4 linked regions of the Arabidopsis thaliana genome follow. The protein of the gene in region 4 binds, or shares a complex with, the protein of the main gene of each other region. Each region holds a gene or a part of one and is shown on either strand. Other genes may lie near its edges. The genes, in order: TIF3B1, EIF3C, TRIP-1 and TIF3H1.

Region 1 (8,264 bases), on a different chromosome or scaffold from region 4:
GTTTTGAGGGTTTTGTGTCTCTGGCATTTTCGACAGTAGCATCAGAGGAAGATACAGACAAGCTTTTCTGGTAATTAAGTGAACGGAAACGGAGAAAAAATTTCCTAGCAGTTCCAAAAGAAGCAACGGATAAACCGTGGAAAGGGTCAAGAGAGAGATCTTGCAGATGGCTCAACAGCTGCGGCACATCGGCTTCCATATAGGTTTGTAAATGCGCTGAACCAAGCTGGGACAATTTCTTGGCCCCAGCTTCCCCAGAATACAAATTTTTTCTCTTCACTGGATGGTCAGAATCAGGCTCTTTCTTCTTTTTCTTTTTCTTTTTTGGCTCTGAAGGAGGATTCTCCGAGCTCATTTCACTTGAAGATCGTTTAGCAACTTTGACTTTCTTGATTACAGACCCTGTGGAACTTTTCCCCTCAGATGCTGAGGTATGAGACTCAAGCAGAGGCTGGAGAGAACTTCCAGCTGATCCAAGATCTGTTCCAGCTTCTTCTTTAGGTTTAAGACTCGCCATAGCTTCAGATTTCCCATGCTCTGGAAGTACAGCAGCTCTTTCTTCCATTCTCTCCTTTGATTTTTCAGCTAGACCCTTTTCTTCATCAAGAGAGGGCTTTGAAGCTGAAAATTCTTTACCAGGAATAGCTGTATTTGAAGAGGCAAAATCCATGCTGACGATCCCAGACTTCTCATCTTTCATTGGAGTTTGAAGCGTCGGAGCTCTTCTCTGCAGCCCAAAATCCCCATCCAAAGATCCATCAATTCCCTGGATATGAGAAGCTTCTGAACTTGCTTCAATTTCGCCAAACTGAACAGACTTATCACCAGCTTCATCCCTTCGTTTGAGAAGATACTTGTCTTTTTTTTTAGAGACCTTAACCTTTGTGGGTTTTTTAGAGCTCTTAAGGTCACCTAGCGTTTCTGCTATGACCAGTGGGCCACTCAAGGGAGCTGGAAATAAGAGAAATTGAAACAACACATCACCCACCAAGAAAATGAACAATAAAGCAAACAAGGTAAATGTATGCGGGACTCTCCATAGTAGAAAGAGGCGCAGAATTGTTATCAGGCCACGTTTTCGAATGCACAGTTTAGCATCAATGAGACTTCACTATTCTTTCAAGCATGCTATGTAAAGAATTCAACTACAAAGATATAAATCCTAAAATCATGAGCACAGAGGATCTAAAAGTAAAACCCTAAAACCAAGTTACAGTATCTAATATCTATGTAACACATATGAAAGCTGTTTCAAGTCTACAACGAAAAAACCCATATACAAACAATAACATGATTTTCTGAAAAGTGGCTAATACCTCGAGGCGGTGCTCTATTATGAGGTTCCAGCGTACTCACTGAACTGCGGGGTGATTTTGTCCCAAAGGCCTGTGCATAAGTTTCATCAAACTCCTCAAACACTGACTTGCGGAAAGCAAAAACCACTGCTTTCTTCTTCATAAACTTTAAACTGTCTGGATCACACTCTTGAGGTGCTAACGCCAATTGCTTCACAAACGAAATGGTTTCAGCGGGTAAAAACTTATCCCTAGAATTCTTAATCTGATCAACAGAGTAAACGGCTTGAAGCTCGTAATCAGGCACATCAACAGCAAAGTAATCTTCCACATTACTAGGCCTAAAGTTATAAGGATTCCGACATTTACAAGTCAAACCAAGAGCTGACCTTCTACTCGCCTCATCCTTGGCTTCCTCCACAGCTCTCACAAAATGCTTCGAAACCGTCTGCTGTGATTTCTCCTCTAAATTCGGTTCGAAAGGAATAAGCTCAGCAGGATCAAACCAACCATAACTACTATCACCGAAAAACGCAACAAGAACATGATCAATCCTCCTCATACGACGAACAGAAGGAGACGCAAAAGCTTCATTGAATATATGACCAGGCCACCAAGGATGAGACTTTACCTTTCCCCAAACCAAATCTCCAACTTCAAACCCATAACTCAATGCCCTCGAAACTCCAGAACCCATTTTCTCACTTGCAACATAATCATCAAACTCAGATAAAAGAGATTTATAATCCGAAACTCCTTTTTTCTCTTCCTTCAAACCCAAATCTAATTCCTTCTCATCAGCTTCAGAACCAAGCTCACTAGATTGATCATCAGAGCCATCTTCTTCTTCTTCTTCTTCTTTAACCTCAGAACTCTCATCATCCTTATCAATTAAAACATCCTCGCTTTTAATCTCATCTTCCTCCTCACTCCCTACGACACCATCTTTCTCCGATCTCTCACTTTCGAGAACCCTAGCGTCATTTGTAACCGCCGAATCTAGCTCCATAGGTGAAGAAGCTTCAACATCATCATCAATGGCTTCGTGAACATCCCCGCTCGAATCAACTACAGTATCATCTGGAGTTACCTTAGGATCCTGAATCGAATCCGTTTGTTGAACAATCACAGCATCCTCGTTCATCACCGGGATTAATTTAGTTTTGTACATTACAAATCGATAAGAACCCTAGCAACAACAACAACGATCCTCCGATGAGAGATTATCCGAATTTGGTTCTCGAGGACACCAAATGAAAGAGACGGATTATTGTTAAAAAAAAAAAAAAGCTAATCGAGAGAAAGACAATAAATTAGATCTACTGATTACTATTGAATTGGGCTTACCCGGCCCATATAAATATTTATAAGCCCGTTTAAGGAACCGACGTCGTATGATCCAAAAAGACCTGAAAACAATCGCTCCTTCTTCCTCACCTTCAAGCGCCGTCTTCTTCTTTGTTTTTTGCTCTCGGCTGATCTCTGTATTGGGTACGTTTCTTATCTCGATTTCAGTGTTCATTTGTTTTTTTTGTCTTTTCTTATGTAGCTATGAGACAGGATCCAGAACGATGCAATAGATATAAGAGAGCCTTCAGGAAAATTTTGCCATTTTTCTCCATTTCACCTGTTGTTGGGTTCTAGATTAAATAAAACTAGAGTATAGTTAATAATTTCTATAGGCATGGTTTTAGATTTACATTATAGTGGGAGTGATGATTCAAAGTTTTAGTCTTTGAACATTTGGCCATGGTAGTTTGTTGTTTTAATACTTGTTTAGGGTTAACAAAAAACCTACTTTTAGATCTAAAGACTCAGATTTTTCACATTTATTTATCGACTTAAAGTTGGAATGTGTTAAAGACTGATAGCTCTCTCTATATGGCTTTCTTTGGCAGATTTTTGATATAAGGTTTGAAATCATGGAGGTCGTTGATATTGATGCCCGAGCTGCTAAGTTAGGGATTGATTGGTCTCAGGTTAATTTTGATTCCATCCAACTTCCTCCTGGAGAAGACTTTGGGATCGAGAGGTGAGATTTTCCTTTAGATCTCTGGTTGTTCATATACGGTCACTTCTATTTCTAATCTTCTTGTGTTTATACGATGGGATGATTTTATTCTAGGTTTTGCTATTGTATGTATGAAAATTTTGTGTATTTCGAATTGGTTTATCTCTTTCCTTGATGGTGCAAAGCTTATTATATTTATACATTTTATCTATGAACGTATGAAAAATGGAACTGATTCGTTATACACTTTTTTTTTCTGTGATGGTTGTAGTGATGATGAAGCTGTTTACCAGGATGACCAGTCTGAATTCGACACTGGATTCGGTAACATTATCGTGGTCGATCACCTCCCTGTTGTTCCCAAGGAGAAGTTTGAGAAACTTGAAGGTGTTGTCAAGAAAATTTACAACCAGTTAGGTGTGATTAAGGAAAATGGACTGTGGATGCCTGTTGATCCCGATACCAAGATGACATTGGGCTACTGTTTTATTGAGTTCAACACTCCTCAGGTTATTTATCTACTTGATTAGCTTAATCTCTGTTTTGTTGGATTCTGAAGCAATAATGTCGGCGTCATATGTTTCAATACTTTATTTCTCTTGTTAGAAAGGAGCCCAAACTAGGTTGTTCTTAATGGTTGAGTATTTCCTAAGAGTTTCTCTCAATGTCTGGGGCTCTTTGCAGGAAGCACAAAACGCTAAGGAAAAGTCTCATGGCTACAAGTTGGACAAGTCTCACATCTTTGCTGTAAACATGTTCGATGATTTTGACAGGTTGATGAATGTGAAGGAGGAGTGGGAGCCTCCTCAGGCCAGGCCCTACGTCCCTGGGGTATGTGTAGTTTTCATCATGTTACTCCCTGTACCTTGAATAATTTTCTTTGAATAACTTCCATTGTGTCTGTGTAATCACTTCTTTATTTTGGTAATTCGCTGATTTATTTTGTGTTTGCCTGCTGCGTTAGGGTTAGGATCTTTTTACGTAATTGATGTATACTAACTAATAACTATAATTTCATAACTCTTGTTTCATGTATATATTTTAATTCATTGCAGCCTTTTGTGGTGCTAATTGTCGTTACTTATATGGTGTTTGTTTTTTCAGGAAAATTTGCAAAAATGGCTTACTGATGAAAAAGCCCGAGACCAGCTAGTCATTCGTTCTGGCCCTGATACTGAAGTTTTCTGGAATGATACTAGGCAGAAGGCGCCTGAACCTGTTCATAAGCGTCCTGTAAGTTACTTCCTGTGTGTATATCCCTTTTGTTTACTTGACTGTTTAGAGCAATGTATATGTTATGTTACCTTCATTTGAATTAATATCCCTTATTTGTTTACTTGACTGTTTAGAGCACTTTTATATGTTATGTTACCTTCATTTGAATTAATGATGTTCTCTTCCTATGCAGTATTGGACAGAGAGTTATGTGCAGTGGTCTCCTTTAGGTACATACCTTGTGACACTCCACAAGCAGGGGGCAGCTGTTTGGGGTGGTGCTGATACATTCACGCGTCTCATGCGTTATCAGCATTCTATGGTTTGAATTTCCTTTCAATTGCTACATATTACTTCCGTTTTTCCTCTGTTGGCCTGAAAATTGCATCTTTTGTTGATTATGTTTTAGGTAAAACTAGTTGATTTCTCGCCAGGTGAGAAATATCTTGTAACTTACCATAGCCAAGAACCAAGCAACCCGCGAGATGCAAGTGTGAGTGCATCTTTTCTTCTGTTCTTTTCAACTTTTACTATTTGTGACGCTGAATTCTGTCAAACTTTCAGAAAGTTGAGATTAAGGTTTTTGATGTGAGAACCGGGAGGATGATGAGAGATTTCAAGGGTAGTGCTGATGAGTTTTCAATTGGAGGACCTGGTGGTGTTGCTGGTGCCTCTTGGCCTGTTTTCAGGTAATTCTTTCAACTGCATGTCAATGTCCTAAAAATAAACAGCCAATATTATCATCTTCTCCACTATTATGGACATATGTTGATATCTTGTAAACTTTTTCTACAGATGGGCTGGTGGAAAAGATGATAAATACTTTGCCAAGCTTAGCAAAAACACTATCTCTGTCTATGAGACTGAGACTTTCAGCCTAATAGACAAGAAATCCATGAAGGTAGATAATGTTGTGGATATCTGCTGGTCTCCTACTGATTCCATCCTTTCATTGTTTGTTCCTGAACAAGGTGGTGGAAACCAACCTGCGAAGGTATGTTTCTATTATTTCTGATGTACATGAAAAGCTCTGAATCCTTAATTTGCTTCTGTTTCTCTGCCTGGTGTTTTGAAATTACATGTTGATATCCCTTCTTCAGGTTGCCCTAGTCCAAATCCCGAGCAAGGTGGAGCTGAGGCAGAAGAATCTCTTCAGTGTGAGCGACTGCAAGATGTACTGGCAGAGTAGTGGAGAGTATCTTGCTGTCAAGGTTGATCGATACACAAAAACTAAGAAGAGCACATACTCTGGATTTGAACTTTTCCGTATCAAAGAAAGGGATATTCCCATCGAGGTTCTTGAGCTGGACAACAAGAACGACAAGATCATTGCTTTTGCATGGGAGCCCAAGGGTCACAGGTTTGCTGTGATTCATGGTGACCAACCAAGACCAGATGTCAGTTTCTACTCAATGAAGACCGCACAAAACACTGGAAGGGTTTCAAAGCTCGCAACTTTGAAGGCCAAACAAGCTAATGCCCTCTTCTGGTCGCCCACAGGCAAGTACATAATTCTTGCTGGGTTAAAAGGTTTCAATGGCCAGCTTGAATTTTTCAACGTGGATGAGCTCGAGACAATGGCCACAGCTGAACACTTCATGGCCACGGATATCGAATGGGACCCGACTGGAAGGTCCTACTGTCTTAACTAAACCAGTCCTTTGGTTGTTTCTATTTGTTCCAATTGCTGATGTTGTTTGCACTTTTTTATTTTCAAAGGTACGTTGCAACCGCAGTGACATCAGTCCATGAGATGGAGAATGGGTTCACCATATGGTCTTTCAACGGGATTATGCTTTACCGGATATTGAAGGATCATTTCTTCCAGGTATGTAACAAGAAAAACTCGGTCTTAAACGAGCATCGTCCATTCCGATGTCTAATAAAATATTTGTGTATGGTTGGTTACACAGTTGGCTTGGCGTCCAAGACCTCCATCATTCTTGACTGCAGAGAAGGAAGAAGAGATAGCAAAGACCCTGAAGAAGTACAGCAAGAAGTATGAGGCAGAGGATCAGGACGTGTCGTTGCTGTTGAGTGAACAAGACAGAGAGAAGAGAAAGGCATTGAAGGAAGAATGGGAGAAATGGGTAATGCAGTGGAAGTCTCTGCATGAAGAGGAGAAACTCGTGAGGCAAAACCTTCGGGATGGTGAAGTAAGTGATGTGGAAGAAGATGAATATGAAGCCAAAGAAGTTGAGTTTGAGGATCTTATCGATGTCACTGAGGAAATCGTTCAAGAGTCGTAAGATACTCGGTCTCTTTTGTTGCCATCTCTTTGGATCCCTTAGACAATTTTAAATCGTGTTCGCTATACTTGGAAGATAATTTTTGGTTCCTTCATGATTGAAAATTTCGTTGTTAGTTGATGAAGTATGGTGCTTATCACATGTAATGGTACTAAATGGTAGAAAAATTACCAATACAATATAGCTTGTAGTGTAACATAATTACACACAAATCGGTAGAGCTTATATAGAAACTGAATCTTCAAATGGCAACTCATCAATCATACTGTAGTAGAAACAACTATAGACCTTATTTTCACTAGTAACAATGCGGAGACGCTAAAAATTGTCTATACTGTATTTCTCTCTTTTTCTTTCTTTCTAAAAGTAAATACTGATATTGGTAATGACAAAAAAGAGTTACCCGAAAAAAAGTTTCATGGGCACTCATGTTTTAGGCGGAGGAGTTCCAGCGAGCCAACCCCAGACGCCACCAGAGCTTTGTCGTTTGGCGTTCATGGTGGCGGCTTGTTCAGACGCAACGGCTCTTTGACGTTGGAGGAGTTCGAGTTCCTTTTGAAGTGTTTCCATTGTCTGAAGCTTTTGTCTTAGCTCTGCAACTTCAACCTGCGGGCACTTAGACCGAGTTTTGTTAGGATTTGGTCAACATCGGAGAGGAATGTTTCACCATCGAGATTCAAATATCAACCCAGACTTACTATAAAAGTGAAACAAAATGACTTTCTTAGTAAAAGGTGTAAATACCTACCTCTAGTTTGAAACACCTTGATTGTTCCGCTGCAAGTTGGTTCCGCACAGATTGAAGTTCCTATAGATGGAATACCAAAAATGTTGATACAACAAAAGAATCTCCAAGAAATTCTCAACTCATTTGTCTTGCTTATTAGTCATTTCCACGGTTTATTGAATTTTTCCAAAATACTAAATTTCAAGACTGAACAAGAACCAATTTTCAGAAAACCAACTACATGATTGTGTTCTGTTGGCTATTCGTTCTGGTAAAAGCGAGATCAAAGGCAAGACAGATTCATGAAGGTAAATAGTACGGTTACCTTGTATAACTCTGTATTTCGTGTGTCTATCTCTGCTAACTCTTCCTTTAGTTGGAGAGTTTGTATCTTTTCCTTGTTGAGTGATGCCTCCACTTCTTCTTTTTCGGATTTAAGGGTTGTGATAATGCGGTCGGCTTTTCCTTCAACCTGAGGATTTAATATCCAGAATACAAAGGAGAAAAATAAGAGATGCATTGTGATTATCTAGTCTAATTTGATATTCACAGCGTTTAAACTGACGGGAAGACACCTTTAATCTGGAGTTAACATTATCCATGACAATTTCCCTTACTTTGCCTTCTTGGCTCACCTTGATCTCAGACTCAATATCTCTAGTCGTGGCGTTATTAACAGCGGAAAAACTATCTGGCACAGCAGAAGCTCCCATAATCTTGGATTTCAAGCTTGATTTGTGGCTTGGTTTAAGAACATTCACCTGATT
Region 2 (7,925 bases), on a different chromosome or scaffold from region 4:
TCCGTTTCTTACATTTATGGTTCAATTTTGAATACCTTATTCTTCAGTTCCAGCTCAGTAGTGAGTTAGTGATTGAGGAGTCCAAAACTTATGTATGTCCTTTTGCTCTTTACAGGGCTGGGTATATTTTGCTGTATGCCAACCACCTTATCAAGTGGTGTTGCCCTTACTCACGTACTCAATTTGATATAAGTCTAATCAATATTTTGTGCAAAACTGTTTTTCTTGCGTTCCACTGACTTATCATATTGCCAATTCAGCTTGCTGGTGGTAATGCTGCTCTTGCTCTTGCTGTGACAGTGGCATCTAACTTATTAGGAATTTTAACTGTAAGCCGAACGACTTGCATATTATTGTTCCTCCTTTGAAACTAGTTGATCATGCAGAATCAGGGGTATTTTTAGTAAGATTGTTTCCTGGTCTATATTTCCGAATTGCTTAGCAATTTGTTCTCAAAACAACTCATGATCTTGTATCTATGACTATGAGTAGGATTCAAACTTCAAAGTCTTCTATTAAGAATGAGTATTGCGTCTTCTGACACTGAAGTTAACGTGGTTTGACCTCTAATCAGATTCCATTTTGGGTATCAAGATACATAGCTGGGGGAGTAGGGGTTTCGTTTCCTACTGACCAACTATTCAGAAGTCTTATAGTTACTCTGTTAATTCCTTTAATCATTGGCAAGGTGAGACAATCTTTCTGTTTGTCCTGTTCTTGCAATGATGAATCAATATAAATTCTGATATACGGTACAATTGTGAAAGCTAAATTTGCAGAGGTGGTTGTTGCCAAAAGATATGTGAATACTTTATTGGAAATTATAATAGGGTTGTTGCGTGGCTCATTTGAAAATGAAGAAAGCTTACTCTCTATTATTTGTTACTTTCCCTGATGTTTATATGAACCTTTCACAAACAGTCATTTCAGCATGAAGTTCTATCACTTGCCATTTTGCACACGTTTTTAAAATCGAGCTTTGACATACTTGGTTTCTTCTGTTATAGGTTATTCGAGAATCATTCAAAGGTGAGCGCCATTTGTTATATTTTACTTCTCTGGTGAAAGTAATTGAATACATACCATTTTAAATAGTTAGCAGTCACTTTATCGTGACAATGGATCAAAATGGTTCTGTTTATAATAAATATATATGCTTATCGCTGCCTACTTTCTGACCTTGTTGAAACTCTTGTTGAAATGTGTGATACAGGTTTCGCAAACTTTGTTGACAATAACCGTAAACTCTTTTCGAAAATCAACGCAATCTGCCTCAGTTTGGTAAGATATGAAATGTTAGTCTCCCGTAATTTCTACACCCCTTGAATAACTTTCTGAAGTCATATCCTTGGAGTTTTGCTTTGTTGCAGGAATCTTAAACTTGGCATTTTAGATGCCTGTACTTAAAACTTTCTCTTTTCTTGTATGATAGCTTGGGATTTCAACATTCCGTGGCATTGATGTGCCAATCCAAAGCTTTTACTAAATTGCAAAAACCATATTTGCAGTCACGGTTATGACTTTGGAGATAGAAGGACTTAATACTTTTTTCCTTTTTATAGTTTAACCTCTGCTTCCCTGGCTACTTCAACTGGTCTGACTTTGTTATTGCATTTACCTGGTTATTTTGGGAACTTAATAGTGTTTATTCCATGATTAATATTCTAGGTGCCATGGATCCAAGTGAGCAGGTCAAGATCACTGCTACTATCCGTTCAACCTAAGGTTTTCCTTGCAGCAGTTGGCATTGGAATGTACGCATTCTTCTTTTAACATATAGAAAAGATACCAAGTGAAGAAGCTCATGGAAATATTTGGCTTGTGTGTTAGAAATGCGGATTACGTTTGACAGAAGATTCTTACGTCTTCTTACAGATTGCTGCATCTTTCTCTACTAGCATTCAATGCTGTTTCAATCCGCATCCTCTCCGGTCTTACAGGTGGTAGCAAGAGCTCCAAGGAAAACAGCACTGCAGTTTTGCTCGTTTCAAGCCAGGTAATAATAGAGTTTGCCTTTTAGAACCGATTTTGATCTCTTAAATTTGGGAGTTCTTTTCTTGTGGTGGCATAGAAAACATTACCGGTAATGGTGGCGGTAGTAGAGCAATTAGGAGGTGCATTTGGTGAGACAGGGCTATTGGTTCTTCCTTGTGTAGCTGCACACCTGAACCAGGTTACAAATTGTATTATAATCATCATGTACTTGTGTGCATAATTTTATAAATTATTGACGTAAATCTGGAATGTTACAGATCATGATTGATTCAGTTCTTGTCAACTTATGGCTCCGGAGAGGAAAAGATACTTCGACTAAAGTAAAGACAGCTTGAGAGAGAGAGAGAGAGATAGAAAGCAATGAAACCAATGCTGTGGAGAAGGTTACATCCTAAACACACTGAATGTCAGTTATATACATAGCAGCAAGACTGGGGATTTTGATATCTTTCCAATCACCAAAGCTTAGTTGATCATTGACCATCTCTCTCTCTCTCTCTCTTTCTGTATGTATATGCTCTAGAGATTCCGGTCGGTGTTTGCTGATCCAATTTGTATGATTTATGAAACTATGTAAAAAAAAAACTTGTATCTATATTTGAAAACATTTAGTCATTTGACGTTACCAGCGTACAAAGCAATTCATATGTAATCTGTCTGATAAGCAGCTAGGAAAGAGGACTAAGAACCGGTTCTTTTCTCAATTTAATTGAACTAACCATCACTACAATTTCATTTAGTCCTGGTTCGACCAATTCGGTTTGTAAATAAAATAAAAACCGATCGAGAGCGTTTTAATTGTCCTCGGTTTTCAGTTTCGGTATGGAAATAGAATCAAATCGAATCCGGTTTAGTGAGTAAATCACGAAACCCTAATTCTATATATTTTTTCATCTCGACCAAAATGCTTGGACGGCTACACACCATTTTTGTTTAGATTCGTAATCCTCCTCAAGCATCTCCTTCGCAAATCTCCATCTCCATCTCCATCTTCTGAATTCAGGTAATTTTGTTCCTCATCATCTAGCGTAACAAATTTTCGATTCTAGTTTGGTGTAGATTGATTCGAATCGATTCTAATTCTTTGTTGATACGAGTCTGTATCTGTGACACGATTGTTTCGTTCAGATTATGTTCTTCGAATGGATTGGTTTGTTTTACTTATAATTTCGTTCCTCTGATTCACTATTCAGATTTGTTACTTTTGGTGTATCAGGTTCTTGTTGCTTACGCTTCCAGCTAAAAAGATGACGTCTCGTTTTTTCACTCAGGTTTCCTTCAACAGACCTCTTGTTTATAAACTCTCTTTACCTTTACTTGCTTCAGTTTCTGAATGATTTTTACTTGTTATGTTGATAGGTTGGAAGTGAAAGTGAAGATGAAAGTGATTATGAGGTAGAGGTTAATGAGGTTCAGAATGATGACGTCAATAACCGTTACCTTCAAAGTGGTAGTGAGGATGATGATGATACTGATACGAAACGTGTGGTTAAGCCTGCTAAGGATAAACGTTTTGAGGAGATGACCTACACTGTTGATCAGATGAAGAATGCTATGAAGATCAATGATTGGGTCAGCCTTCAAGAAAACTTTGATAAGGTTAACAAACAGCTTGAGAAGGTTATGAGGATTACTGAGGCTGTGAAGCCTCCTACCTTGTATATCAAGACGCTTGTTATGTTGGAGGATTTCTTGAATGAAGCTCTTGCCAATAAGGAAGCCAAGAAGAAGATGAGTACTAGTAACTCCAAGGCTTTGAACTCAATGAAACAGAAATTGAAGAAGAACAATAAGTTGTACGAAGACGATATCAACAAGTATCGTGAGGCTCCAGAAGTTGAGGAAGAGAAACAACCTGAAGATGATGATGATGATGACGATGATGATGATGAGGTTGAAGATGATGATGATTCTTCCATCGACGGACCTACCGTAGATCCTGGGTCCGATGTGGATGAACCTACTGATAATCTCACTTGGGAGAAGATGCTGAGCAAAAAAGATAAGCTTTTGGAGAAGCTAATGAATAAAGATCCTAAAGAGATCACTTGGGACTGGGTCAACAAGAAGTTCAAGGAAATTGTGGCTGCTCGTGGAAAAAAGGGCACTGCTCGATTTGAGCTAGTTGATCAGCTTACGCACTTGACAAAGATTGCCAAGACTCCTGCACAGAAGCTTGAAATCTTGTTTAGCGTTATTTCGGCTCAGTTTGATGTGAATCCAGGTCTCAGCGGGCACATGCCTATCAATGTCTGGAAGAAATGCGTGCTTAACATGCTCACCATACTGGACATTCTCGTCAAGTACAGTAACATTGTTGTGGATGACACAGTTGAGCCTGATGAGAACGAAACTTCAAAGCCAACAGATTATGATGGAAAAATTCGGGTCTGGGGAAATTTGGTTGCATTCTTGGAGAGGGTTGACACTGAGTTTTTCAAGAGTTTGCAATGCATTGATCCTCACACCCGTGAGTATGTTGAGAGGCTAAGGGATGAGCCCATGTTCTTGGCCCTTGCTCAGAACATCCAGGACTACTTTGAGCGGATGGGTGATTTTAAAGCTGCTGCAAAGGTAGCCTTAAGACGTGTTGAGGCAATATACTACAAGCCCCAGGAAGTTTATGATGCAATGAGGAAATTGGCTGAGTTGGTGGAAGAAGAAGAAGAAACTGAGGAGGCCAAAGAGGAAAGTGGACCTCCTACTTCATTTATTGTTGTTCCGGAGGTTGTTCCCCGTAAGCCTACCTTCCCAGAGAGCAGCCGAGCTATGATGGATATTCTTGTGTCCCTTATCTACAGAAATGGAGATGAGCGGACCAAAGCGCGTGCGATGCTATGTGATATCAATCACCATGCTTTAATGGACAACTTTGTGACTGCTAGAGACCTGTTGCTGATGAGTCATCTGCAAGACAACATCCAGCACATGGACATCTCAACACAGATTCTCTTTAACAGGACCATGGCGCAGCTTGGTCTTTGCGCCTTCCGGGCTGGAATGATCACTGAGTCCCATAGCTGCCTTTCCGAGCTGTACTCTGGTCAAAGAGTGAGAGAGTTGCTTGCCCAAGGTGTCTCGCAAAGCCGATACCATGAGAAAACCCCGGAGCAGGTAACTAGTTATCTTCTGTTTTTAGATTTAATACAGATAGGATTGAAAAAAAATTGTTTGACCAGATAGTTCTGATTGAGACATGATTACAAACACTGTTGCATTTTTGGGTTCTTCATTTTGTTTCATTTCACACAATCCATTTTCTCTATTTCAACATGGATGCTTATGGTTATGTTTTTCGTTCAGTTTATTTATATGTGATATAAAACTTTCTTGGTTTATTTCTTGATTTACCAGGAAAGGATGGAAAGGAGAAGACAAATGCCGTACCACATGCACTTAAACCTTGAGCTTCTGGAGGCAGTTCATCTCATCTGTGCCATGCTTCTTGAAGTCCCAAACATGGCTGCAAACTCGCACGATGCCAAACGCAGAGTGATTAGCAAGAATTTCCGCCGCCTGCTCGAGATCAGTGAAAGGCAAGCATTCACTGCACCGCCTGAGAATGTACGTGACCATGTCATGGCAGCCACCAGAGCCCTGACCAAAGGAGATTTCCAGAAGGCGTTTGAAGTTTTGAACTCTCTTGAGGTCTGGAGGCTGCTCAAGAACCGTGACAGCATCCTTGACATGGTGAAGGATAGGATCAAAGAAGAGGCTCTAAGGACTTACCTATTCACATACTCAAGCTCTTATGAGTCCTTGAGTCTTGATCAGCTGGCCAAAATGTTTGACGTCTCTGAGCCGCAGGTCCACAGCATTGTGAGTAAGATGATGATTAATGAGGAACTGCATGCAAGCTGGGATCAGCCAACACGATGCATCGTCTTCCATGAAGTGCAACACAGCAGATTACAATCATTGGCTTTCCAGTTAACGGAGAAACTCTCGATTTTGGCAGAAAGCAATGAGAGGGCAATGGAATCTAGAACCGGTGGAGGTGGTCTGGATCTGAGTTCAAGGAGAAGGGACAACAATCAGGACTATGCAGGAGCAGCATCAGGTGGTGGTGGATATTGGCAAGACAAGGCGAATTACGGACAAGGAAGACAAGGCAACAGATCAGGTTATGGTGGAGGAAGATCATCTGGACAAAATGGTCAGTGGTCAGGGCAGAACCGAGGAGGAGGGTATGCAGGAAGAGTTGGTTCAGGAAACAGAGGTATGCAGATGGATGGCTCAAGCCGTATGGTGAGTCTTAACCGAGGTGTTCGTACTTAAAGAGGATGAGGAGAAATCTGCAGTGTTGACCTTAGTCTCAACCTTTTGTTATGTTTTGGATTCCTTTTGGTTATCAAATGGTTCTTTCTAAGAGATGTTCATCACATTTTCTCGCATTGTGATTGTTTATTTTCTTTGTGATATTGGCAGTTGTTGGAAAAGACTTTTAAGAATGCTTTACTGGAAAGTTTAATAAGTTTTTTTTTATGCGTCATTCTTGTTGAAAAGAAGAAGGCTTAGGTTTTTTCTCGTATGCTTGCAGGTCTGTTTTTGTTGATGTCTTTTACTCTTTCATCTTTGTTTGCTTAGTAACTTCCTCTCGATGAAGTGTTTGATTAATTTCTTATCAAGAACATCTGTGATTTAATCGGCTACTTTCGTGGAGCTAGCGACAATGAATATTGTTGAGAAAATTCTTTTTTTTTTTTGGAACTCTTATCTTATTATAACTCATGTTGTATGGCAAACACAGATACAAAAAAGAAACACAAGCTTGTCGTAGTAAGTACTAAGTAGTAACTAGTACAAGTGACATGGTTGCATTTGCCAAAGCCGGATAAAGATGCTGAAGAAGTATCCGGTGGAGTGAAAGGCTCTTCTGCTGCACTTAAAAGGATAATAATGCTGTGGACTTGCGGCTCAGAGACGTCAAACATTTTGGCCAGCTGATCAAGACTGGAGGACTCATAAGAGCCGGATAAAGATTCTCTCAGCAATCTTCACATCACTCATATTGTTAGTTATTGTCACTCTCTCTCTACTCTATGTTGAATCTGCACAATTAATGTTGATGATTTAAATGTCCTTTTTCTTTGCTTACATACCAAATAGAATTTCTGAACCACAACTTATTGCCAGCTGAGATACCATCTCCTTCTCCCGTGCAAAAGTATTTGTCAACTAGAAAAATGATTGCTTAAGTACGAAGAACGATAAATAGAGAAACAATCAATGTGAGTTTAAGACAACAAATTTATATTGAAACCATCACTATTTGCCAAGCACATGTACGAACATACAACTTAAGAAATGTGAAATTATTATATGCTAATTTCTACGATCTAAAGCTTATATGGCAAACAACTATTAATTGATAACTAGTGGGGTAGCCTCACCAGTATCATTGATTATTGAGCTTATCGATACTTTCCTCTTCAGTAGTAGTATCGCATTCCACTGTCGGTTCTTCCAAAGCCTCTGAAATTTCTTTAGAGGCTGGGATGCTTTTCTGAGTTTGCAGACCCGTAGAGCGTGCAAGATCGATCCATTGCTGCAACATTTTTATCAAAAGTTGGGATCAAATCAAATAGTACTGTACTTCAAAAATAAGAATTTAGGAGAAAAGGAAATAAAGATGTAGAAAATGAAACCAAATATTCAGGCTTGTAACTCTGACCTGCGTTCCGAAATATGAGTTTAGGGTCCTGACAACAAATGAAATAGCATTTACAAGTAGAGGTTGCGAAGAAAGCTCATCAGATAGGCGATGCTCTATTAATCCCGCAATTATCTGCATTTAAAGACACTTTGACATTAGATGCATATATCAAATCATAATGTCTTTAATCAACACTCTTCCTTAGCCAAGACGTCGCGGTAACATACACATACCATCACTGTCAAGCAGCATGGATCATCATACCTGGTAACGA
Region 3 (6,583 bases), on a different chromosome or scaffold from region 4:
ACTCTCAGCTATCTTTAGTTTTCATATGATTGTCTAAAGTCTAGAACCTCACTTATTGCATGTTTCCAGGCAGATGAACCGAAACTTAAAAGAAGTCGAGAGGGAACTCCAACAAAAGGTATATAGCCTTATTCATGTCCCAAAGAGTTAGAATCAGTGTAAATATTAGATATAATGGGAGTTTTAATTCGGTTTTTTTGGCAGATGGGAAACAATTGGTTCAAGCTAGCTCATTTCATTCTGTTTCTCCGTCAAGTGGTGATACCGGCGTAAAACTCATTCAAGGATCTGGAGCTATACTCTCTCCTGGTGTAAGTGCAAATTCCAACCCCTTCATGTCACAATCTTTAGCCATGGTTCCTCCTGAAACTTGGCTTCAGGTACCCTGTGACTTATTCTCAACTTCCACTTGTTGGATTTTCGAGCTAATCTGATCCGTTTCCCTGACCAAGTATTAAATTTTGTCTTCAGAACGAGAGAGAACTGAAACGGGAGCGAAGGAAACAGTCTAATAGAGAATCTGCTAGAAGGTCAAGATTAAGGAAACAGGTTTGGTTACTGAAAGAATACACTGAAGCTCTTTAGAAATTCTTTCTCTTAGTGTGTAACTCTCACCAAAACATTTAATAAACTAACAAACTGTCTTTCCTTGTTTTGAAGGCCGAGACAGAAGAACTTGCTAGGAAAGTGGAAGCCTTGACAGCCGAAAACATGGCATTAAGATCTGAACTAAACCAACTTAATGAGAAATCTGATAAACTAAGAGGAGCAAATGCAACCTTGTTGGTAAGTAAGCTATCATTAACCAACAAATTATCTTTATGAAGGCGTGTCATTTTCTTGAACATGGCCGGTTCTTTTTGGGTTGCAGGACAAACTGAAATGCTCGGAACCCGAAAAGAGAGTCCCCGCAAATATGTTGTCTAGAGTTAAGAACTCAGGAGCTGGAGATAAGAACAAGAACCAAGGAGACAATGATTCTAACTCTACAAGCAAATTGCATCAACTGCTCGATACGAAGCCTCGAGCTAAAGCAGTAGCTGCAGGCTGATCGATGGTAATTCATGTCGATTTCTACTTAATTTGTCGACATAAACAAAGAAAATAAGTGCTACTAATTTCAGAAAAACTTGATAGATAGTATAGTAGAGAGAGAGAGAGAGAGAGAGGTGTGATGATTATTGATCTATAAATTTTCGGAGAGAGAGAGGGAGAAAGAGAAACTTTTCCTCCAGATGAAAATTTGGTGTTATGGTTTGTTACTGTTAATATAGAGAGGCTTTTCTTTTTTTATAAAATGGCTTCCTTTGTTGCATTTCCTTGTTTTAGACCTGATGTAATTTTATGAAATCGGTGTTATTGCTTTGCGTAAGCTTTTGTTTCTTTTGTCAAGGTTTCATGCATAAAGGATCTTTCTTTTCAGGTTTCATACATCTCTCTCCGAAAATTTATAGATCCAATAATCATCACGAATATCACAAACATTATGAGTCTGTCTTTGGGTGATTTTCTTCGCTACTCTTGAGGACTGTCAATCACACAAGGCATTCTTTTCTACAACCGAGTTTATTTTATAAAAGCTGAATATTAATGCTCGCTCACACATAGAGCAGGTTAATTAACTTGTACTGAGAACTCTGGAAATGAAAACTAAAGATTCTGTCAAAATTCAAAAGCTTTATCATCAAGGTATTTGTATTGGTAGTAAATAAAAACATGAAAATGTTAAAAGAGAGAGAAAACAAAATCCGGAATGGGAGACTTTTTCAAAGATTCTAAAAGGTTGACGTTCAAGTAGTCGGAATCTAAATCTTGATGTTGAAGTAGTCGGAGTCAAAATGATGCAGCCTCACGTAACCGTCTTCACCTCCACTAGAGAAACTGAAATATACATTCCACAAACTCAGTGAGAGAGCCAAAACACACACTCAAAACCTCATCATGTGAGGATTGTGTCAATCAATCAAAATCCAAATGTTGTTAATTTACCTCTTCCCATCAGGATTGAATGCCAAAGCATTTATAGGTCCAAAATGACCTTTCACACCACCAATTTCCTCTTGCAGAATCTATATATTATACCAAACACAATGATACACGGTTATTTAAATATGTGTATTTTCCAGGTTACATGTTTCCAAGTAAAACACTCTTATTATAAACACTAACCTTGTCGTAAAACTTAGCTTCAAACTTTCCAGCACGATGATCAGTGGTAGTCACAGCTGATGCATCTTGACCACCTCCAAGTACAACCTAAAAGAGAGAGCAGAAACATTCACAAAGATAACATCATGCCTTGCTGATTCTGGGATTCGAAATTGAATTTCATGAAGCATTAGTGCATACATGGTTGAGAAGTGGAGACAGGGAGACAGCATTTACGGGCACCACAGTGGTGTAAGTCTTAAGAAGAGTCAGCGTTCTCATGTCCCAAAGCTGAAACAATCAACAAAAGAGAACACTCTATTAGATGATTTATATCTATATGTATAGTGCAAAAATTTGAAACAAGATATACTGTACAAGTAAAAGAAAGAAGCACATGCCTTTGCAGTTTTGTCAAGTGAACCTGTAAGGAAGTGAGAGTCATCAGCTGCTTTGCAGAGCGATGTAATGTCCTTCTTGTGACCCACTTCCTCATCTGATTGCTTGAGCAATTTTCCCGTCTAGTAACAATGGCAGTAGCACCACATAAGGTTTAGTTCATAACCTTAAAAGAGAGAAATTAATACACAAGTAAGGCCTTAAGAAAAATTGAAATACCTCGGCATCCCAGATTCTGATAACTTTATCTTCACCACCACTAACAATAGTTTGGTTCAGGGGACCCCAAACAGCTCTATTGATCCTCTTCTTTCCATCAGGACAATGAAGGACAAGCACAGACTCAGCATCCTCTACACAATTGCATCAAACAAACAATTTCCTTTTAACACATACAAGAAGTTGGCTAAAACGTAAGTAGTAATTCAGCTAGGAATGTACAACTTACGTTCCTCAGGATCTTCCGCAATACGCTTCACATGAATAGCAGCGGTACGGTCCACGAAGTGATCAGTGGTAATCACTGCAAGACGATCTCCAACAGCGAAATCCACAGACCTCGTAGGGGCATTAAACTTGAAAGTGAACAATTCTTTTCCAGATTTTACATCCCACAGCTTTGCAGTCTGATCAGCACTACCAGTGATCAATCTTGACGAGTCTCCTAAGAAATCACTAAACATTCAGCTTTGAAAGACTAAGACGACAGAATTCACTCGATACTATAAACCCTAAACAAGCTTGTAGCTAAGGGGAAACAATGAATCTAATCATCGACTCGATACTATTTGAAGAGAAATTGAGAAACTTACGGGAGACATCACAGCACCAAACAGCACCGTTGTGACCACGGTAAGTTCCAAGGCGCTCGCCGTTATCGGCAAACCAGAGGGTGGGTGTGTGGTCCTTGGCGCAGGAGAAAAGCAGATCTCCTTCTCTGTTGTACCTCAGAAACGTCAATGGACGTTCATGTCCCTTCATCAGGATCGGCCTCATCTTCAGTTTCTTAGGGTTTGATGCGAATCTTTGAAACAGATACGAAATCGAATCAATCAAAAGACAAGAAAAATAATTGAAGAAACGATTACGGAAAACGGCTTTCTTCTTCACCTGTTCACTTGAAGACGAGAGAGACGACGAGGAAGAAGTGCAAAAACCCTAGGAAATCAACTTTGTCCTCTCTTTTGACACTTTTACCCTTTTGTAATTTTTTAAATTACTCGAGATGCCACAGTTTAGCAAAGCTCAGTGGCTTCAGCGTTTTTAGCTTCTTCCCTATTTGATGAGTTCGAACCTCGCCCGTTGCGCCTATTTTGTTTTTTTCCTTTCTCAAAAGCAGTTTCATACGTTTTTTTTTTGTGGGTGCATATGTCTATTTGAAAAGACAAACAACAAGCTTTATCATCAAAGTAGTATATTGGTAATTTGGTAGTACATCAATTCTGAAAATGTTAAAAAGAGAGAAAATATTATGTGGAATGATGAAAAAATGGAAAGACATGTTCAAAGAATCTAAATCTTGATGTTGAAGTAATTGGAGTCAAAATGATGCAGTCTCACGTAGCCGTCTTCACCTCCACTAGAGAAACTGAAAATACATTCCAAAAAACACTCAGCAACAAAGCCTAAAAAACACTCTCATCAACTGAGGATTGTATCAATCAATCAAAATCAAATTTTGTTAGTTTACCTCTTCCCATCAGGACTGAATGCCAAAGCATTAATAGGTCCAAAATGACCTTTCACGCCACCAATTTCCTCTTGCAGAATCTATATATTATAAGACCAAATACACAGTTACATATCTCTTTCCAGGTTACAAGTTTTTAAATAAAACTGTTTTACTGCAACACTAACCGTGTCGTAAAACTTAGCTTCAAACTTCCCAGCACGATGATCAGTGGTAGTCACAGCTGATGCATCTTGACCACCTCCAAGCACAACCTAAAAGAGCGAGAGCAGAAACATTCACAAAGATAACATCAAGACTTGTTGCTTTTGGGAACCGAATTTGAATTTCAAGAAGCATTAGTGCATACATGGTTGAGAAGTGGAGACATGGCGACAGCATTTACAGGCACCACAGTGGTGTAAGTCTTAATAAGAGTCAGCGTTCTCATGTCCCAAAGCTGAAAGAATCAACAAAAAGAACACTCTATTAGATGATTTATCTCTATATGTAATATGTATAGAGCATATTTTTGAAACAAGTAAAAGAAAGAAGCACATGCCTTTGCAGTTTTGTCATGTGAACCTGTAAGGAAGTGAGAGTCATCAGCTGCTTTGCAGAGGGATGTAATGGCCTCCTTGTGACCCACTTCCTCATCTGATTGCTTAAGCAATTTTCCAGTCTAGTAACAATGGCAGTAGCACCACATAAGGTTTAAGCTAATAAAAAAAAAAAGAGAGATATTGATAGACAAAAGAAAGGCCTTAAGAAAGTTGAAATACCTCTGCATCCCAGATTCTGATAGCAGCATCTTCACCACCACTAACAATGGTTTGGTTCAGGGGACCCCAAACAGCTCTATTGATCTTCTTCTTTCCATCAGGACTTTGAAGGACAAGCACAGAATCACCAACCTCTACATCAATTACATTAAATCAATTCCTTTTACCCATACAAAAAAGACATAGGCTAAAAAACATAAGTAGATTTTAACTTAGAATTGACAACTTACGGTCTTCGGGATCTTCTGCAATGCGTTTGACATGAATAGCAGAGGAAGTTCCCACGAAGTGATCAGTGGTAATCACTGCAAGATGATCACCAACAGAGAAATCCACAGACCTTGCAGGGGCACCAAACTTGAAAGTGAACAATTCTTTGCCAGATTTCACATCCCACAGCTTTGCAGTCTGATCAGCACTACCAGTGATCAATCTAGACGAGTCTCCTAAGAAATCACAAACAAAACACTAATCGTTAAGCTATGAAAGACTAAAACAACAAAGACAACGACTTAAATCCTAAACTGAATCCATTCCATCCACTATATACTATTTGAATTTGAGAGGCTGAGACCACTTACTGGAGATATCACAGCACCAAACAGCACCACTGTGGCCACGGTAAGTGCCAAGACGCTCGCCGTTATCGGCAAACCAGACTGTGGGAGTGTGGTCTTTGGCGCAGGAGAAAAGCAGATCACCATTTCTGTTGTACCTCAGGAACGTCAATGGACGTTCATGTCCCTTCATCAAAATCGGCCTCATCCTCGTTTCTAGGGTTTGATGAGAGGAGCTTTTCATCTTGCAAACAGATACGAAATCAATTCAATAGAAAGAACAAAAGATAATACATTAATCGGAAACAAGTACATGACCAAACGGAGGAAGAGATATGTGCACATACTTGGTTGAATCGAAGACCTTCGGGATTAACGCACTCAATTGTCATGACGGAGGAGGCGACGGTTGAAGGACGACGGATTTGATCAGCGAGCGTTCTCTGAGATTTTGAGGGCTTTAAGTGGTGAATCGTTAAACCGGTGAGCGTACCATTGGTAAATAACTCCGAATAGAGCCACGTGGCAGTAATGGGCTCGAAACAGAGTCCACCTGGCCTAAACATCTAATCTGTAGGCCCATGCCACTTTGGATGTATCAAACTCAATATGATTATCAGTTATAAATTAATCGACTAATCTAATAACTGAAATTTGAATATTTCAATGAATGTAGGAAGAAGAGAAAAAAGAGGGAACACGTCAGCAACAAAAACGGCGCGCGTGAGTCTCGGGCCTAAAACGAAATCCCTTCCTCACGTCTCAGCCTTCTTCCATTAACGAGAGAGAAGAGACAACGCAACACAAAAAAACATTCTCTTCTCTCTCTCTCTCTTCCAAAAACTCAAAATCTCTTAGAAACCAAGTTTGCCTGCAATCATCATCATCATAGCATCTCTCTCTCCATTTTGAAGATTTCGTTTTGATCTTCCTTGATACGATTTATCAGGAGATCGTCAGAGAGGTGAATAATTAAGAGAAAAAAGATGGCAGATTATCAGATGAACCCGGTTCTTCAAAAGCCACCA
Region 4 (7,200 bases):
CCAACGTTCCTCTTCCCAATGTCTCTGCCGAAGCTTTTAGCAGATCTTCCATGGTGTATCTCACTACCGTCTCGCCTGAATCACTGGTTCCAAGGAAAACCAGAGTTCCCACTGCACCTTCTTCGCCTCTTTCCCATGAGAATCCTCTGTCTTTCCTCTCAATGTCTCTCTCTGTCTCTGCAGTTGTTGCTCCTTCTGCTTCCGCTATTCCTTTACCTTTTCTATCTTCCCTCGGTGCCTGGTTCCGCCGCTTCCGTCGCCAGCAGACGATAAGCAACGTCAATAGCAAGATAAGGACTAGTACTCCGCCGGCAACGCTTCCGGCGATAATCCCGATCAGCTTCGCTTTGCTCTTCTTAGACTTAGGTATAGGCGTTGGTTTCGCAGACGGCGCAGGTGAGATTCCGCATGGACTTCCAATCTGATCGCCGCAAAGAGCGACGTTTCCGGTAAACGATGACTCATCAAACTGCTTCAAAGCTCGTGTCAGTGGAATTTGACCAGAGAGCTTATTGTTGGATACATTGAAGTATCTGAGACTTGTCTGGTTAAGAGGAGGAATCGAACCAGTGAAGAGATTGTCCTCAACATTGAGCGTGTAAAGACGAGAGAGACGAAGCAACGAGCTAGGGATTCGACCGGACAGTCTGTTTCCGGAGAGGAAAATAGTTTTCAATCGGTGAAGAGACGTGAGAGACTCCGGGAAGTCGCCGGAGAAGTTGTTATCGTTAAGATAAACCGATTTGAGGTTAACCAAACCGGAGAGGTTAGGGATTGAACCGGAGAGAGAGTTAGCTTTGAAACTAAGAACCCTAAGTTGATCCAACTGGTTCAAACTCTTCTCGTTAAGTGAGCCGGTGAGATTCAAGTACTCAAGAACAAGCTTGGAGACTCTTCCATTCATACATTCTCTAACACCTTGCCAGTTGCAGAGATCTGTTCCTCTCCAAGAAATCGAATTAGATGGATCGATTGAAGATTTCAAGCTTAGTAAAGCTTCGACGTCGCTAGATCTCGCCGGAGTAACCAAACAGAAGAAGACTGTAAATGCAAAGACTACGAACGACACCGTACTCGAAGACGAAGAAGAAGAAGAAGAAGCCATTGTCGATGAATGATGAATCAATCAAATCAGAAAGAGTGGCTCTTTTCCTCAGCTCATAAAAGAAACAGAAATGATTGATACAGTTCGAAATCGAGTTTCCATAAAAAGCATCCCATGAATCTCCTCAAAGCCATCACTTTCTATTATTAAGTCACTTTCCAGATCTGCCCCATTATGCTAAAGCATCTCGATCGAAGCAAAAAAGGGAAAGGTAAAAAATGAAGAAGAAGAAGAAGAAAGTGAGAGCTCTGCTCTACTCTGCTCTTTAATGGCGGAAAGAAATCTTCTGGTAGTGAGCACTAAGAAGAGAAGAAGAAGCATTAAAATTCCCCGGCATTTTCTCTCTCTCTCACTTCACTTTCTGAGTATCTTTTCTCGAAGTTCTTGGTCGAGGAAGATGTCATCACGTGAAGCCATGCCTGGAAAACTTTTTTTTTGTTCTCACTGTGACATCTTCAATGCATTCATGAATAATAGTAGTATTATAAAAAAAATTAATAATGGGTTTATGAAGGAGAGACGAAGGAGAAAGAGAAAAATAATTCACGTATATTTTTGTCGTTATTGTTATGGTTGCTATTACTTTGCCAAGATTCAGAGACAGATAGGTTTTGGGGCCAAGGTAGTTACTGCTGCTGAGAAAATTTATATAGAGATTTTATGGTGAAGTGTGGTATGGAGCAGAAGAAATATGGTGGGAATAATTAATTTTAGGGATGATTTATTTAAAGTAAGGAGAGACATTGTTTTTCAATTTTATTCAGTTGGTGTCTGGTTCCTCTTTGCACTCTCTACCAATTATTGAGCTGCTTTTTTTTCCTACCTCTTTTTCTTGTTGAATCTTCACATGGTTTTTATAATATTTTTAATCGTATTTTAATATGGACCTCATGTTATTTATACAATGAGGATATAGATTGTTGGATTTTTGTTTGAGAGGAAAGTTAAAGATGTGTTAACATTCATGGTTGGTATTCAATCTCTAAAACGAGGATGTTGAAGTGTTTATTAAATTAGGAATTTATTAGTTGCTTAGCTTAAGCGTGATGAAAATGTAATAAAGAAGAGGTGAGAATTGAGTTCACGTAAAGGCTGAGTTAATTATTAACCAGCGGTCCACCAGTCCAAACACCAACCTCGCAAAGAGACTGCAGTCATTTAATTTGGCATCAATATTATTGTTGACTTCTTTGACCTTCAATGAATCATCAAGGTTTTCGACTTTCGAGTAATAAACTATAGTACATTTAATACGTTTTATATATTTGGTTTTACGTTTTTTGATACCAGTGGTGATTCTCTAGTTTTTGCCGTTTATTTAGGACATTGTTGATTTTCTTACGGACTTATGAAATGACCATGTCTTATAGACTTTTTAAAGTTGGTTACTAAAGATTAGACTTTGAATTAGTCCTCTTTTTCGATTAAACCCTAATACCGGATGGAATTTGGAGGGAAAGTTTCTAAAAGTTTTGGATTCTAGTTGACTCCATGACTGTTTGTTTTTTCTTACTAAGTTTTGACTAGTTGGTTAGTGTAATGGGCCCATGCTATTAAATTAAATGTTCAATATTTTGAGGAATATTATGGTCCTGGCCTTTTACAAGAGAATAGCATTATAGGTCCATGGGCTGGGTCCATCCTTATTATAGGTCGGAAAACATTTAGGGATCATTCTATAAGAATCTCAAATTTTAGGGCTCTTTTGCAATTTTAACTGCGAAACGCTTTTTTTTTTTCCTCTCTACACCCAAATTGAAGGGAAAAAAAAATCTGCGGATCCTCGAGAAGCCCTATCAAACACATAAAGTTCTTTCTCTTACTCATCTCCGCCGCCGGCAGTAAAAATATCACATCGTTAGGGTTTCACGGCGGAGATTCAAGTTCTTTGACCTAGGAAGCTTTCACTATCACCGGAGACTATTTCAATGGCAACCAGTCAGTATAATCATCCTCTCTGTTCTTCACTAGGACATAGAATTAATATTTGCATCTGTTTATTGACGATTTCTGTATATGTCGTGCTAAGTTTCTTCCGTGGTTTATTTCTGCAGTGGCTAGGTCGTTTCTGCAGGCGATATCGAAGGATGAGGCGGTGGCTCCTCCGCTTAGAGTTGTTCAGATCGAAGGACTGGTAACGTTTCTTAGTGTTCCCTGATTTTACGGTTTTAAGTGTTTTTCCTCGTTTTCTGCTGACCGATGGTGTTTGATAAATAAAAACTCTCTAGGTGAAGCTAATTTGCCCATTATCATTTGGTAGGAAGTTGTGATGCTGAGAATTTTGTTTGCTATTGTGATAGGCTGTACTAAAGATAATCAAACACTGCAAGGAGTTTTCACCGACCCTTGTCACTGGACAGCTTCTTGGACTTGATGTTGGTAGCGTCCTCGAAGTTACCAATTGTTTTCCTTTCCCGGTATGTTGATGAATTTTACACGCATTGTGAGGATTTAAGAGCTTGTTCATGATTGATGTACATGTGATTTACTGGAATTTGTATCTTAAACGAGGACAGGTCAGGGATGATGATGAAGAAATTGAAGCTGATGGTGCTAATTATCAGCTTGAGATGATGAGATGTCTGAGGGAGGTTAATGTTGACAACAACACTGTTGGCTGGTAGGTTTTTTAATGACATCAGTCTGAGTTCACTTGTTAAATTTTTTCTTGTGAATGTATTTAGATCTGCCTAATTCTTTGTTCAGGTATCAATCTACAGTTCTTGGTTCGTATCAGACTGTGGAACTGATTGAGACCTTCATGAATTACCAGGTACTTTTTTTTTTGTTAAAGAATCCTGTCTACCATGTCATTATAACATTCTAGATTTGGTCTGTTCATATGTTATGCTCTTCATTCAGCTGGAAATTTATATGTATAGCATGGCTACTCTAGTGTATGATAGGTATATTGGCATGTGTAAAAGTTGAATGTAAATTGGATCATGAATATATTTTCTGAGACTTTTTTTGTCCGCAACTCTGTTACAATCCCTTGCAGAATCATGATATGAACTCTTAAGAAATGATTCTTCTGCATCTACAGGAGAATATCAAGAGGTGTGTGTGCATCATATATGATCCCTCTAAAGCTGATCTAGGCGTCTTAGCTTTGAAGGCTTTGAAGCTTTCAGATTCCTTTATGGAGTTGTACCGAGGTGGAAACTTTACTGGCGAGAAGTATGTATCTTGATCCATTGAAAATCTAGGTTTTATGAGCCACTTAGGATGATAGTTGTAACGTTTTAATCACTATCTTTTTCAGGTTGAGAGAGAAAAATTTCTCCTGGATGGATATTTTTGAGGAAATACCTGTAAGTCTCTAGCTTTCTTCTATATTGAATTCTTACCAGCTAATCTTTTCAAGTCACTAGGTTGGAATTGTTACCTAATTATATTTTCCTCTGACAAAAAAAGTGGTTTAAATGTTTGTTACTTTTCCTTTGACAGATCAAGGTTTCAAATTCTGCCCTTGTCAGTGCCTTTATGACCGAACTGGAGACTGATACACCTGTCTCACAGGTACAATACTACTATCTGGATAGTGATCCTTGCTTGCTGTCAGCATTGCAGATTTTGACTCTTGATACTTCTGTATTTTCGCCTTTCTAGGGCGATTATGATCGTCTACACTCATCAACCACTCCTTTCCTTGAGAACAATATGGAGTTTTTGATTAAATGCATGGATGATTTATCTATGGAACAGCAAAAGGTGTGGTTTCTTCTGCACTCTTGTTCAATTCTCATCATCAGAAGTCCGAACTATCTTAACGCAAAATCTTAATTTATTTCTCCAGTTCCAGTATTACTACCGGAACCTGTCTCGTCAGCAAGCACAACAGCAAGCCTGGCTCCAGAAGAGAAGGTAGGTTTATATTTTCTGCAGAACCTTTTTGTTCTAGTTCAGGTTTGATTAGTTTCACTACCTCGTTATCTTGGAAGGTGATACAACTTTACTTACGAGAGTTGTGAATGCCTTGTAACATTTGTCTTCAGCTTTTCCTTGTCCTTTTGATCTTCCAACTAATGAAAGAGGTGTTTGGTTTATAGAACGGAGAACATGGCTCGTAAATCAGCTGGAGAGGAGCCTTTACCAGAAGAGGATCCTTCAAACCCAATCTTTAAGGCGATCCCTGAACCATCTAGGCTAGAGAGTTTCCTCATCACAAACCAAGTCTCAAACTTCTGTGGCCAAATCAATGGGTATGTTCCTCTTTAGTATTGTTTCACCATTTTTGGAGCTTTGAAAGATACTTAAAATGAGTCGACCTGTTGTTATGCAGAGTGGCTGGCCAGAACTTCAGCAGGCTTTACCTGACCAAAGCATTGCACGACAACTGATTGCAAAGACTACCCAAGTTTTTGTTTTTTGAGTCAGAAAGTGAAAGACTTGGTGGTAGAATGGATCCTATATTTGTTTTTCGTGGATGTTTTTGTTTTTATTTTTGTTGTTGTGAAGTAATTTAATTTACAAGCTTTTCAAAAAAAATCTTTATTCTTATGCATAATGAAAAATTATTGAAGTTTTGAAAGATTTATCTTGTATTGGACCTCTGATTGCCTTACAACAAATTATACATAGTTATCAAAATCCTAATCAAAAGAGTAAAAAATCTAATTTATAGAGATTTTATTATAGTTGTAGTGTTAGTTCCATCGCTAAATCCCTTGAACGACAACGTTTATTATTTCTTCTTCGGACGATTGTTTGAAGAAATTTAAAAACGACATCTTTTTATTACTTCCTCTTCGAAAGATTGTTTACCAACAAGAACAATGGCGGTTTATCATCTCCTTCTCTCGAGCCCACCTTCGCTTCTTCTTCTCCCTCCTTCTCCTCGCCGCCCTAACCTCACCTTAATCCGCCGTATCCCAGCTCATCCTCGCCTCGGAAACTCGACCAGCTTGCTTTCTTCTTCGTCACCGGTAATTCGGAAAATTCTGGTTCGTAGCACTCTCCGGGAAGACCAACCCATCGCCTCTGACTCCGAGAGTAGTCCTACTCTACTGATCGGTGAAGATTCTGCTGCTTTTGAATTAGGGAAACAGAAGCTTGTTTCCTGGGTTTATTTCGGTGTTGTCCTTGGAGTTGTTCTCTTTATCCTCAATGTTGTTTGGATCGATAATTCCACCGGTTTCGGAAAATCATTCATCGACGCCGTCTCTAACATCTCCGGCTCACCGGAGGTATAGATCAATTTAACAGTAACTGAACCAGTTTCAATTTCAGTTATTTGATTGTTAAAAACCACTTGTTTTTGCAGGTTGCTATGTTAATGCTTATCCTTATATTTGCAATTGTACATAGTGGTTTAGCTAGTCTAAGGGATATAGGAGAGAAACTTATAGGTGAACGAGCATTTCGTGTTTTGTTTGCTGGAATCTCTCTTCCTTTAGCTATGAGCACCATTGTGAGTACTCTCTCTTCTAACTCTGCAATTTTTCTCCTGATCAATGGTATAAATACCTGTTTGATGTCTCTTATGGTCTATGCAATGCCTTGTTCTTCTTTCAGGTTTACTTTATAAACCATAGATATGATGGGTCACAGTTATGGCAGCTTCAGGGTGTTCCTGGAGTCCATGAAGCTATTTGGGTCGCTAATTTTGTATCCTTCTTCTTTCTCTATCCTTCAACCTTCAATCTTCTGGAGGTAGCAGCTGTTGACAAACCGAAGATGCATCTCTGGGAGACCGGCATCATGAGAATCACTCGACATCCTCAGGTTTTGAACATTTCCCTAATGTGCCTAAACATGAAGACAATTTCCTTCATTTTTGTGTTTCAAAAATACAGAAAGATTGGATTTTTATGAGCCAAGGTTTATTAGTGGCTGTGTTAATGAGACCCCCAATCATTGAATCAATTATGGGCAGGTATTGGCCATTGACTTAAATACACCCATTACATCAGCACAATCAAATCTCCTCATCCTTCTATGTTTATTACATCAATGCTTGATTACTTTACTTGATATTGCTTTTGATCTTAAAATTCTTATCCAATTGCTTCATCATGTGTTTGGAAAAACTTGATAATATATAGAAAGATAGGCATTTTAGCTTCAGTTTTGGTTTGTTCTATTCTCTCTTC

The links.
Region 1: TIF3H1 (region 4) and TIF3B1 share a complex: the UniProt entries of both Arabidopsis thaliana proteins name them as parts of the eukaryotic translation initiation factor 3 (eIF-3) complex.
Region 2: TIF3H1 (region 4) and EIF3C share a complex: the UniProt entries of both Arabidopsis thaliana proteins name them as parts of the eukaryotic translation initiation factor 3 (eIF-3) complex.
Region 3: TIF3H1 (region 4) and TRIP-1 share a complex: the UniProt entries of both Arabidopsis thaliana proteins name them as parts of the eukaryotic translation initiation factor 3 (eIF-3) complex.

Annotation. Positions count from the first base shown.
Region 1 is NC_003076.8:9,779,713-9,787,976, reverse strand, and holds TIF3B1 (translation initiation factor 3B1), read left to right. Parts: upstream 1-2,688; 5' UTR 2,689-2,786; intron 2,787-2,801; exon of another isoform or gene 2,802-3,193; 5' UTR 3,194-3,217; coding exon 3,218-3,327; intron 3,328-3,577; coding exon 3,578-3,815; intron 3,816-3,912; coding exon 3,913-4,137; intron 4,138-4,410; coding exon 4,411-4,539; intron 4,540-4,714; coding exon 4,715-4,843; intron 4,844-4,930; coding exon 4,931-5,014; intron 5,015-5,085; coding exon 5,086-5,210; intron 5,211-5,316; coding exon 5,317-5,515; intron 5,516-5,621; coding exon 5,622-6,154; intron 6,155-6,240; coding exon 6,241-6,349; intron 6,350-6,434; coding exon 6,435-6,770; 3' UTR 6,771-6,967; downstream 6,968-8,264. Other genes in the region: AT5G27650 (Tudor/PWWP/MBT superfamily protein), read right to left, coding at 1-951, 1,317-2,466; ACBP5 (acyl-CoA binding protein 5), read right to left, coding at 7,197-7,376, 7,519-7,578, 7,823-7,969, 8,073-8,258. UniProt on the Arabidopsis thaliana protein: RNA-binding component of the eukaryotic translation initiation factor 3 (eIF-3) complex, which is involved in protein synthesis of a specialized repertoire of mRNAs and, together with other initiation factors, stimulates binding of mRNA and methionyl-tRNAi to the 40S ribosome.
Region 2 is NC_003074.8:20,832,138-20,840,062, reverse strand, and holds EIF3C (eukaryotic translation initiation factor 3C), read left to right. Parts: upstream 1-2,787; 5' UTR 2,788-2,998; intron 2,999-3,188; exon of another isoform or gene 3,189-3,211; 5' UTR 3,212-3,242; coding exon 3,243-3,266; intron 3,267-3,354; coding exon 3,355-5,109; intron 5,110-5,349; coding exon 5,350-6,273; 3' UTR 6,274-6,653; downstream 6,654-7,925. Other genes in the region: AT3G56160 (Sodium Bile acid symporter family), read left to right, coding at 116-174, 261-329, 575-688, 1,008-1,029, 1,214-1,281, 1,669-1,754, 1,876-1,996, 2,072-2,173 and 1 more; AT3G56140 (DUF399 family protein, putative (DUF399 and DUF3411)), read right to left, coding at 7,394-7,543, 7,670-7,783, 7,916-7,925. UniProt on the Arabidopsis thaliana protein: Component of the eukaryotic translation initiation factor 3 (eIF-3) complex, which is involved in protein synthesis of a specialized repertoire of mRNAs and, together with other initiation factors, stimulates binding of mRNA and methionyl-tRNAi to the 40S ribosome.
Region 3 is NC_003071.7:19,001,851-19,008,433, forward strand, and holds TRIP-1 (TGF-beta receptor interacting protein 1), read right to left. Parts: upstream 3,883-6,583; 5' UTR 3,658-3,882; exon of another isoform or gene 3,572-3,657; 5' UTR 3,544-3,571; coding exon 3,360-3,543; intron 3,212-3,359; coding exon 2,996-3,211; intron 2,901-2,995; coding exon 2,767-2,900; intron 2,670-2,766; coding exon 2,550-2,669; intron 2,440-2,549; coding exon 2,350-2,439; coding exon of another isoform or gene 2,329-2,349; exon of another isoform or gene 2,257-2,328; coding exon 2,170-2,256; intron 2,070-2,169; coding exon 1,990-2,069; intron 1,882-1,989; coding exon 1,806-1,881; 3' UTR 1,308-1,805; downstream 1-1,307. Other genes in the region: GBF3 (G-box binding factor 3), read left to right, coding at 70-118, 205-380, 472-549, 661-786, 872-1,051; AT2G46290 (Transducin/WD40 repeat-like superfamily protein), read right to left, coding at 4,060-4,135, 4,238-4,317, 4,405-4,491, 4,587-4,676, 4,779-4,898, 4,999-5,132, 5,229-5,444, 5,580-5,799 and 1 more; AT2G46300 (Late embryogenesis abundant (LEA) hydroxyproline-rich glycoprotein family), read left to right, coding at 6,542-6,583. UniProt on the Arabidopsis thaliana protein: Component of the eukaryotic translation initiation factor 3 (eIF-3) complex, which is involved in protein synthesis of a specialized repertoire of mRNAs and, together with other initiation factors, stimulates binding of mRNA and methionyl-tRNAi to the 40S ribosome.
Region 4 is NC_003070.9:3,606,133-3,613,332, reverse strand, and holds TIF3H1 (translation initiation factor 3 subunit H1), read left to right. Parts: upstream 1-2,716; 5' UTR 2,717-3,033; coding exon 3,034-3,043; exon of another isoform or gene 3,044-3,159; coding exon 3,160-3,239; intron 3,240-3,405; coding exon 3,406-3,522; intron 3,523-3,621; coding exon 3,622-3,725; intron 3,726-3,811; coding exon 3,812-3,878; intron 3,879-4,151; coding exon 4,152-4,285; intron 4,286-4,370; coding exon 4,371-4,419; intron 4,420-4,555; coding exon 4,556-4,627; intron 4,628-4,717; coding exon 4,718-4,819; intron 4,820-4,904; coding exon 4,905-4,972; intron 4,973-5,157; coding exon 5,158-5,310; intron 5,311-5,390; coding exon 5,391-5,448; 3' UTR 5,449-5,702; downstream 5,703-7,200. Other genes in the region: AT1G10850 (Leucine-rich repeat protein kinase family protein), read right to left, coding at 1-1,105; Z-ISO (15-cis-zeta-carotene isomerase), read left to right, coding at 5,884-6,294, 6,372-6,518, 6,623-6,832. UniProt on the Arabidopsis thaliana protein: Component of the eukaryotic translation initiation factor 3 (eIF-3) complex, which is involved in protein synthesis of a specialized repertoire of mRNAs and, together with other initiation factors, stimulates binding of mRNA and methionyl-tRNAi to the 40S ribosome.